Linked DNA regions of Danio rerio. The protein of the gene in region 1 interacts with the protein of each later gene in a biochemical or structural test. Links are inferred from orthologs where the notes say so. Each region holds a gene or a part of one and is shown in the gene's direction. Other genes may lie near its edges. The genes, in order: mcm4, mcmbp and cdc7.

Region 1 (3,659 bases):
CCTGAGTTGGCTGAGTGTTAAAAATACTCGCGCTCACCTCCCTCGTGACAGAGCGCATAGGAGATCAATGACGTGACATCAGTACATAATAACCGGTTATGATTATTACGGAACCGATACCTTATTGTCCGCGTCTGCATCGCGGTGCACCGAAGAAACAATTAATTTTGACACCCCAAATAAGTAATTTCAATCGTTAATGCAGCAGATTTATGGAGAATTACAAGCCTCGGATAGGAACGGACATGTCCCCCCTTTTCCCCCTGGGATTTACGCCCCTGTGAAGTAGGGATGCTCATTTTGGTTAATTTTGCTTACCGACAACCGCCGCTCATTAATCAAATATTACCTGTTAACTGGTCATATTAATATTAAATTAGCATTTAGTTTAAAAAAATTTGACGTCTCTGTTGTGTCTGACACATTAAATATTGCATTTTAAACACTGATTTATTTTAACATGCGAACATAACAACAGAGTATCTTCACACACCTGCAGTATTTCCAACAGCATAGAAAAACAGAATAAACTAAATTAAATGAATAAAATAAATAGGCCTGCCCTAACAATTTTTTCAATTAAATTATTAATTTAGGCGCCGTTTACACTGTTTGGTCTTGATGCCCAATTCCAATTTGTTGCCTATATCTGATTTGTTTGCCTGTCTGTTTACACGTTGTTTTAATTGTGACCCATATCCAATTCACTCGTTTACACTTGCCATACAATTTATGTTGTCGCGCATGCATAAAGCCGGGTTCTAGCATCTATGCCACACTAGCCACGATGGAAGAAATTGTCTTGTTTTTAGCTCTGCGAAGTGTAGTATAAGCAGTGAATGGTTTAGTCCAGATTTACCCCCACGTAGTAATAATGGTATGGCACTGATGTGTGTGTGTGTAGTTAAATATGTAGCCTTTGCCTGTGTGCGCACTGGTGTTAGAGAGAATAAAGTTGTTCTATGTGTATTAATAGTGACAAAAAGCAAAAGTTACAACACGAAGTTCGCCCAACTTTAAAATGATTTTGTGGTGGAGGAGGAAAAGGGCCGTCATCGCAGCTTGCGCTTATGGTTTATATGCTTTATGATGTCCTCCACCATTCAGAGGAATGTGTGGGTACGAGAGAGATCTCGGGTCTGCTGGGAGCAAATGGTGTCGACTGACCACTTCCTCCTCTGTGTTTCCTCTGATGTTGTTTACCGCGTCTGCATCTCCACACACGCTCTTCTTTCTGTCATTAAACTGCGGAGAAGCACCACATTGTCGCAAGTTTAATGATGTACAGAACGGAATGCCTCAATAAATCCGATCTGCCTGTTTACATGACAGTCGCATTGTCACATATCCGATCTAAATCTGATTTATTTCCCAATGCGAAGGAGGCCTGAAACCGATCTCTGAACATCCGAATGCATGCCTTTTTTTTTTTTTTTGTGTTTACTCAGTCGTAGAACAGATCCGATCTGCGTCACATATGAGCAAAAAATCGGAATTGGGTCACATTTAACTGGCAGTGTAAACGGGGGCTTAGGTTACAAAATGAAAACACTGACTGAATCCTTTATAAGAACCGGCATAGGCTGTTTTTTTTTTTTTTTTTTTGGTACATTTTTTTTGTATTTTTTTACACTCATGTTTTTGTCTTTCGTTTGGCAAAATGACTGAGCAACTCTTCTTTTATTGTGCTCAGGCATCTACAGAGCTGCCCCGATGCGTCTGAACCCACGGCAGAGCCAGGTGAAGTCTGTTTACAAGACCCACATTGACGCCATTCACTTCCGCAAGACTGACGAGAAGCGTCTGCATGGACTGGACGAGGACGGAGAGCAGAAACTCTTCACTAAAGAACGAGTCGCTCTGCTAAAAGAGCTAGCCGCTAAACCTGACGTCTATGAGCGCCTGTCCTCTGCTCTGGCTCCCAGCATCTACGAACACGAGGACATCAAGAAGGTCAGTATGATGGGAAACTCTAAATTGATGAAGTTGTTTTGAGTGTAATTGAATTGCTCCTCCACTTGCGAACTTGTCCCACTCCGTCTTCATGTGTTGATTGAGATTACGTCAGTCATCGAATAAAAATGCACATTTTAAAGCACTTCACGAGACCTTTACATCAAGGAATATGCTGTCAGGACACAAGTTGATGGTGTTGATGTTTTCCAGGGCATCCTGTTGCAGTTATTTGGCGGGACGCGTAAGGACTTCACTCAGACGGGCCGAGGAAACTTCCGTGCTGAAGTCAACATCCTGCTGTGTGGTGATCCGGGCACCAGTAAATCCCAGCTGCTGCAGTACGTGTACAACCTGGTTCCTCGCGGTCAGTACACGTCCGGGAAAGGATCCAGCGCCGTTGGTCTCACAGCCTACGTGATGAAGGATCCTGAAACCCGACAGCTGGTCCTGCAGACCGGAGCGCTCGTGCTCAGCGATAATGGCATCTGCTGCATCGACGAGTTCGACAAGATGAGCGACAACACCAGATCTGTGCTGCACGAGGTCATGGAGCAGCAGACGCTCTCTATTGCTAAGGTGCATAGGCTTATACGTATCTGATTACCTTAGTTTTTTAACTATATACGTTTCATCACAGTATTGACCCAAGCTGCAGTAATTTAACAAGTATAGTTACAAAAATGCTTTATTATATATACACATGTTGAGATAAAATAAATGTTTTAAACACATTAAATTGCAAAAGGATGATAAAGTAAAATAGGTAACACTTTACAATAAATTCTCTTTCATAAACCGTTAAAATAATTCGTTAAAATCAAGAATGAGAAAATGCAATATAGTTATTCATTCGTTCATTTTCTTTTTGGCTTAGTCACTTTATTAATCAGTGGTCGCCACAGCGGAATGAACCGCCAACTTATCCAGCACATGTTTTATGGAGCGGATGCCCTTCCAGCTGCAACCCATCTCTGGGACACATCCATACACACTCATTTACACACACTATACACTACAGACAATTTAGCCTACTCAATTTACCTATAGCGCATGTCTTTGGACTGTGGGGGAAACCGGAGCACCCAGAGGAAACCCGCGCAAACGCAGGGAGAACATGCAAACTCCACACAGAACTACCTACAGCACTACCTACTGCGCCACTGCGTCGCCTATTATAGTTATGTCAACGTTCGCAAAAAATACAACCAAATAAGTCTGTTTATCACATTTAATGAAGCAATTTCGACGTTAGATTTAAATAATAATAATAATAATAATTCTATACATTTATATAGCGCTTTTCTGGACACTCAAAGCGCTTTACACATTGGGGGGCGGGGTCTCCTCATCCACCACCAGTGTGGAGCATCCATCAGGATGACGTGATGGCAGCCATATTGTGCCAGACCACACACCAGCTGATTGGTGGAGAGGAGACCATGAACCCATTATGATATGAGGATGGTTAGAAGGCCATGATAGACAGAGGCCAGTGGGCAGATTTGGCCAGGATGCAATGAGAAATTGAAAAAAAGAAATAAAGAAAATGAAAGCATTTCAATAAATTAAGCATTAACTACAAATTAACATCACCTAAGATTAATAAATGTTTTTGTAGTTATCATTACATGGACTTTAATGAGTCAGAATTCATGAACAAAAGGCCTATAAATAGTCTCAGATTCAGTAAGTCTTACTTTTTG
Region 2 (3,759 bases), on another chromosome or scaffold:
TCGTTCACGTTCTCCCCTGCTGGCTACGCCCACTCCTGCCCGATGCTCGCAGAGCTCCATGCCCATTAATCATGCTTCTTTTGAAAAAATTCTGAAGTAGACTTTAACCGAAAGTGGGGTGTGTCATTGCCCTTTAAAGGCCCGTTCACACCGAGACATTTTTTGCTCACGTTTTCTGTCAACGTTTAACGCCTCGTGACTAAATAAAGCCTGTCAATTTGATTGTGCACACCAGCGCGCAAAACGCCAGGCGCAAAAGTGTCATTTTTAAAAAAATGCCTCATGCTTGTTTTTTTGTTTTGACGCGCGGCGTCAAAACCTTCTCTGCCAATCAGATCGGCACTTTTGTTCACGTGCATGGAGCTGCTGAAGTTATCGTAAACAGCACTTGGAGGCGCTCAAGCTCAAAACTGTCAATGCAAACGCACAATGAAGAAGATGCCCAGAGGCGATATGAACGTGGAGCTGCTTATTGCTCTGTGAACACTAATCATTTCTTCATCGCTGGAGCTGCTGCTTGAACCATCCATGCTTGTTCGAGTCACCAGTAAATTTAACAACATGCGTGTGACTGTGAACTTCTGCTCCTCCACTTCTTCTGTTATAAGCGGGTGTCAGAAGCTTATAGTTGCGCAGCGCCAACGTCAAAAGAGTGATTTATAGGGATGTAACGGTATTGTAAATACCGTCATACCGCAATATTAATTTTTTTCGATATTACCGAAGTCGCATGACTCGGTAAAACTATAGGTCTTCTGAGAAAATTTGCTCAGGCGAATGAAGCGAACGGGACTACAATTCCCATCAGCCCATGCTTGACCATCATCCCTTGCGGTCTGTTGTCGCTACAGATCCAGTAATGCGGAAATGGAGTGTGCTGCTAGAAGCGGGGATGAAAAAGAGCTGTAAAACTCTAAAGCGGGTGTTGTCGCCGCGCGCGTTCTGAATAGCGGTGTTGTCGCGCGCGTACTGAATAGCAGTGTTGTCGCGCGAGTTCTTATCAGCTGTGTTGTCGCGTCGCGTCATATCTCTCTTGTCCCAGAAACCTCAGTCCCAAATGAGAGTTTTTTTTTCTGTTGCAGGGGACATTGTAAATACCCAGAGATACCAGCTTTTACCAGATTATATTTATATGATAATTTTCCTTTAAACCCATCTCTATCTAAGTGAGTGAGTGATTAAATGTTGAATGTGATGAGTTTTCAACAATACTAAATTGAAACTTAATTTTTTTACATGGTTTAATATTTTTTTGTTATTAAAATTGAAGTTCCTGTTTCAAAGCTTACAGATAGATGGCTAATTTGTATGTCATTGACACTTTTGGCACTTTTTTGGAGTATTTTCATAAGTTTTGTTTTTTCCTGTAAATGATTCAATAAATACCGTACCGTGACATTCATACCGAGGTATTACCGTACCGTGAAATTCTGATACCGTTACATCCCTAGTGATTTAGCATACTCTTCTGCTTGACGCCACTGAAAAACGTCTCGTAAAACGCTGACGATAAACACAAACAAAAAACGTCCCGGTGTGTAGGAGCCTTTAGGGTGCTTTCACACTAGCACTTTTGGACCGCACATGGGTTCGCTTGACGTCAGAGTACGGTACGTTTAGCTAGTGTGAACAGTCATCTGAACTCAGGTGTCCTTATGAACTGCACGCGAGTCTGCCTGAAAGAGGTTGTCTAGCATATTGTTCGTGTGAACTCTGGTCCAATTCTGATATGAATTTAATACCAAATAACGGAAGTGAAGCGCCAACTGTACAACAAACTTTAGTTTTCATAATGTTCATTCGTGTGTGTGTATGTCAGTGTACAACCTAACGTTTCCTTTGTGTTCGCCCTGGCTCAGGCCTACTTGTCACAGTGATAATATCAGCTTGTCTTCTCCAAAAACAACTTCTGCAGACATTGCGTTATGTTCTGAACGTTTTTAATATTTTTGCGGCAGATAGTTGCGAGTTCCTGTCTGTATGTCCAAAACCAAAAGATTTAGTAAAAGCAGAACAAATGTTCTTTCCGTTTTGTCGCCTTGGCTTTCGTAGCTGTCAACCACTGTACACACAAGCACATCACAAAGACGCAAACGTACCAGGGATCAGAAAGAAAAAAAAGATGTGTGAACACAAACAAGCCAAGAAGTTGACAAAGGAGGACAATCAAACTTTGGTTCGGACCAGGCAATTAAACCAAGAGTGTGAAAGCATCTTTATTCATTCCCAGAATATGATTTCAAAAATGTAAGTTTATGACCATGTTAATTTCTGACACTGTGAATTAATACTATTAAAACAAGTAATTGTAGATATCAGAAACTACTCTTTTAATCACATTTATAGATTTCAGAAGTAACATGCTGAAATATATGATATCTGAATAGAATATGAATTTATCAAGTCTCGATATCAAGAATTACATTTTTGATTTAAAAAATGCAGATTGTTGACAAAGAATTGCATTTCAACTCATAACAATGTCAGCATTCGCAGAAAATAAATTTCTTGATATCAAAAATGCTGATTGTTGAGATCAACAATTTAATGCTTAATATCAAGAATTTATACCCTGTTAAGCAATAAAAGTAAAAATGGCTAACTTAACAGGAAATGCAATTTCTGATATCAACAATTCAATAGTTGATATCAACAGTTTTTCTAATGATATAATCATCAATTAAATTGTTGATATTTATAACTGTTGATATCAACAGTTAATTTGAATTCATACACTGAGTCTGAATACAAGTCCAAACAGCCAGCGTTCTTCAAAATATATTTTTTGTGTTCAACAAAATAAAGAAACTAAAGGTTTAAAACCAAGAGTGAGAGTAAATAATGAGGTCACTCTCCATTTTGGGTGAGCAATGCCTTTGAAGAAAGCACAATGTATCATCAATTTACTTAGCAGGATGTGCAGTGTTAAGCTGTGATCGTTGATCTGACATGCATGCAGTTTCTCACGGTTAGGTGTGCATGGGATTCATTGGGAAATTGGATATAAGTTCACTTATTGCTTGATACGTGAACCATTTAAAAACATGTAATTTTGGATCTGTGCATTCAGCTTTAGTGACATCAGCTTTTTATGCTTTCTGTATTTAATGATATTCAGCAAATAAACTTATAAACCTATTTCTAAAAGTATTTTAGCTCCACTAACTTCATTACAAATACTTTCTATTTAGCAGTATTCAGAACACCTTTATAAAAAAAACAAAAGCAGAACTGTGCTGCCATTCACTATAAACCTTATTTTTAATATCAAGTCTGAAGTCATTTGTTCTAATCAAATGTGAACTGTGGCTCTGGAAGTGTCTCTTAGGGGAATATATGCAACATGCATGTTTTGCTTGATATTAATTGTAGCATTGCACTGTCACAGCATGTTATGCATGATGAGTTGCTGCTTTTCTGCTGAACAAATAAGTTCAATTCTTATTTACGTTTGTTTTCAGGTTGCTCTCATTGAGTCATGGACAGAACACACTTTCTAGAGACGGCTGGATGAAAGCCAAGCAGCTCGAGGCCTTGAGGATTAGTCGGACACAACAGCAGAAATGTGTGAACGGAAACGAGCCTTAAAATATATTGCTATTTACAACTACCTAAACAGATACCATACTTATTATTTTGGATTAAAAAGTAATGTTTTCATATGGCAAAAAAAACTCTTGTAAAGTTCGTTTTTTTTACTACATTTTAAACCTTTGGGAAAACTTAGACACTGGTGAAGTCGATTTTTGCATTATTTAG
Region 3 (3,659 bases), on another chromosome or scaffold:
ACATTGTGTTTTAGGGATTGCTTTCAAAGCCCAAAAAGGAGGAAGTAATTCCACGCAAGATTGTTTCTGCCAAACATCGCTCCGTCCCTGTCAGAGCACCATTAAATCAGAAACAGAAACTTCCGGCTGAGAGTCAGAAACCTAAACCTGCTGCCGTCAACCCCCTACTCACCTGCAACTGCTACATGACTGACCGCGTCTGCAACATCTGCCTGTCCAGGTACACACTCGTCATCTATACATCAATCCAAACCTTAAAAAGCCTACTGTGGCATGTCTACGGTGAAGAAAAAAGAAAGATCAACACTACACAGTCTACTACATGCATCTATACTCTGTTTTAGCCCAATTCTAAAAACACCCACATTTGTCATGAACTGCTATCAGATTTATTGTTAATAGTGAACTAGTGATAGTGACTAGTGATTAGTTACATTTTGAGTGTTTAATAAGCTACATCAGCCTTTTCAGGAATTTTTTTTTTTTTGCATTTCTCAATAAAAACATTCTATTTGATGGTTTTAATTTAATAGTGTGGTTATTTTTTTCACAGGAAACAGCAGGTGGCTCCGAGGGCTGGTACCCCTGGGTTTAGGGCTCCTGAGGTTCTAACCAAGTGTCCCAACCAGGGAACAGGTAAAGCTAACAAAAGCAATGCTATTATTATTATTATTATTTTGGATGTGATTCAGTATTCCAGCTCACTGTATAGAAAATACTATCTCTTTAACAGTTGGTACAGTTCTGTCTTTTTTTAAAACTTGTTCATGGTTTCCGCCACACCAAAATTGATCCCGCCATGGCTACATTACAACTTTTTATTCATATTATTCAGTTCTGTTTTTTTTAATAGCGGGTGATAATCGTACCAAAACGTATTAAAAGGTAAGTGAATTATAACGGGGCAAACTTTTCTGTAACCGTAGTAGTACTGTGCGTTATTTGTTTAACCCTTTAAGGTTATGTGCTGACTGACAGATGCGTGAGGCCAGCAATTACAACGTATACTAGTTTAACTTTACTTCAGGGCGCATTAATACCGCTCTGTAGGTCTATTGGAGACATTCAATAATATTCCTAGCAAATCTAATAAATGTTGGAGACATACTCGTTACATAAACGCACTAAATCGCACCCAGCAGCATTTATTTGAGCGCGCACAAGAAGATCTGCGCTTGAGCAGCGTATATTTAAGGATGTGCAAGAAGTTTTGTGCACTAGCAGAGGAAATCGGCGCGCAAGCAAAGAGTTTCACATGCTCGTAGGCTATTACATAAATCCGATCTCAACTTGTAATACTGCGCTCACGACATTTGTCATTGAAATAACGCAACAGGTAGTTAGCAGATCTGTGTAAAAAAAAAAAAAAAAAAAAGGCCTGCCACCACAGCTGTAAAAAAATCCTAGTGAAAACACTGTTGTGTACTTTATACACGTCCATTTGAAATTTATAATGGTCATTCTACAATTGCAGGTATAATTGACGTTTTCTTACAGTAGTAACCTATAGGTTATATAAACTTGGGAAATAAGTAAAATAAGAAAAAAAGTTTTATACATGTGTGTGTGTGTGTGTGTGTGTGTGTATATGTGAGAAATATCACACTAGTACCAGTGTGCTATGGCTGTATTCACCTTATTCTCCGCCGACGAGTGGGTGCTGCCATTTGAATCTTTTTGGCTCTAGACTTCCGGTCTCATTCACTTCCATTTATTTTTTTAACGTTAAAAACTGCTCGTTATGCTGCTAGATGTTGCAATTAGATTTTTTTTATTATATTATTCTATTTGGTCTGTATAGTCATGCAAATATTTGTTTGTAGAGCAAGTAGTTTGACCATTTTCTGCTGTTTATTATTCCTAGTCATTTCTCCCATAGGCGACTGAATCGGAAGTTCTAAGACAATCGCGATAACAGGCGCACTTCTGCATTTTAGAATAAGGTCAATATCAGCACTGGTGGGAGGCGTGCTTTGTGCCCCACCAGTGCTGATATACAGCCATAGCACACTGCTACTAGTGTGATAATGCGTTTATACAACAGTTTGATGGCACAATCTTGTACATAAAAAAGAAAATCAAACACAGAGAGTCTAAAACCCTATTGTATTAGGAACTACTATCTTCCACCATTTATTTACATCTGCAGCTGACGTCAGAACAGCAGAAGCTGTTCTGAATCCAGCTTCTTATTCGCAGCTTGTTATTGTCTCTCTCTCTCTCTCTCTCTCTCTCTCTCTCTCTCTCTCTCTCTCTCTCTCTCTCTCTCTCTCTCTCTCTCTCTCTCTATATATATATATATATATATATATATATACATTTATAACAATTAATAAAATTTAATATTAAGTAATTAATAATATTTATGCTTGTATACATACAAGTTTAATAAAATATAGAAATAAAACTTATTTGCACTCCAAAATATATGTACAAAAAAGGTGTGGTTCTTCCCAAGGGGTTCAAAAAGAGCATTTATTAATATGGACTTTTTAGATATAAACCAATACTATTTTAATGTACCGACCCAGCTTTGTGTATATTAATAGACATGCACATCATTCAACTGTTTATTTTATAAAAAAATTTTTAGTTAATTTTTTTTTATTTTAAGAAATAATAATGTATGCAGTCATGCACGTTTTGACAGATAATATGATGGTGATTTGATGCTTCGTAAAAGTTGCAGACACCCGAAATCAAAATGCTTGATGCAAAATTAATTTAAATTCTTTACACCAATTGAGAAACTTAAATTCTATTATACTATAATAAAGAAAATTAGCTCTGAGTTAAGAGTATTTAGCAATTTATTTAGTTTTACATTCAAAGTTCAAAACCTACAACCAACAACAAAAGCGTATAGCTATTGCCTATCATATTTATCAAACCATTTATTACGAAGTTTATGCAATTTTTCTCACATGGATAATTGAATATTACTCAGATGATGTCATTATGGTGCTGTGCCATAAGCCAATCGTTGGTCATGATTTTGAGGATCGATAGATCAGTCCATCACAACAAGTGTACCGATCTCCGATCAGTTAATCCAGACATTTTAATGTTTCGTGAAGTTGTTTGAAGAACCAAATCAGCCAGAGATCAGGTATCATGATTAAAAGTGACAAATCATCCAAGATCATTTAAGCGAGGTACGAAGACGGGCCCATGGTCTGTCCCTACGTTCTGGTCAACTTTGTTACATCGTTTATATAAAGCTATGATGACATTCTTTAATTAAAGCACAGATAGACAAAGCATGTGACTTGCTCCAAGTTGGGTCACTGTCTCTGATGATAAACTCTGGAATGCAGGGGTCACCAATCTCGGTCCTGGAGGGCTGGTATCCCTGCAGGGTTTAGCTCCAACTTGCCTCAACAAACCTGCCTGGATGTTTCAAGTATACCTAGCAAGACCTTGATTAGCTTGTTCAGGTGTGTTTGATTTGGGTTGTAGCTGAAATCTGCAGGACACCGGCCCTCCAGTAACAAGTTTGGTGACCACTGCACTAAGGCATGTCATTTTCTCTCAACAATTTAATAAAAAGGTTTAGGACACCAATAGTAGATTAACCCTTGTGTGCTGTTGGGGATGTTTTCATCTGCTCTGGGATGATTTTGTGTCTTAATTTGGCCGCAACTTTCTCTGTATCTCAG

The links.
Region 2: the proteins of mcm4 (region 1) and mcmbp form a complex in vitro, tested with the Homo sapiens proteins (2 studies listed by BioGRID). The link is inferred for Danio rerio from reciprocal best matches to the Homo sapiens genes MCM4 and MCMBP.
Region 3: of the proteins of mcm4 (region 1) and cdc7, one has a biochemical effect on the other in vitro, tested with the Homo sapiens proteins (2 studies listed by BioGRID). The link is inferred for Danio rerio from reciprocal best matches to the Homo sapiens genes MCM4 and CDC7.

Annotation. Positions count from the first base shown.
Region 1 is NC_133199.1:39,260,920-39,264,578, reverse strand, and holds part of mcm4 (DNA replication licensing factor MCM4), read left to right. Parts: intron 1-1,693; coding exon 1,694-1,953; intron 1,954-2,166; coding exon 2,167-2,532; intron 2,533-3,659. UniProt on the Homo sapiens protein: Acts as a component of the MCM2-7 complex (MCM complex) which is the replicative helicase essential for 'once per cell cycle' DNA replication initiation and elongation in eukaryotic cells.
Region 2 is NC_133188.1:28,753,111-28,756,869, reverse strand, and holds part of mcmbp (mini-chromosome maintenance complex-binding protein), read left to right. Parts: intron 1-3,461; coding exon 3,462-3,588; 3' UTR 3,589-3,759. UniProt on the Homo sapiens protein: Associated component of the MCM complex that acts as a regulator of DNA replication.
Region 3 is NC_133177.1:11,292,848-11,296,506, reverse strand, and holds part of cdc7 (cell division cycle 7-related protein kinase), read left to right. Parts: intron 1-14; coding exon 15-220; intron 221-553; coding exon 554-636; intron 637-3,659. UniProt on the Homo sapiens protein: Kinase involved in initiation of DNA replication. Phosphorylates critical substrates that regulate the G1/S phase transition and initiation of DNA replication, such as MCM proteins and CLASPIN.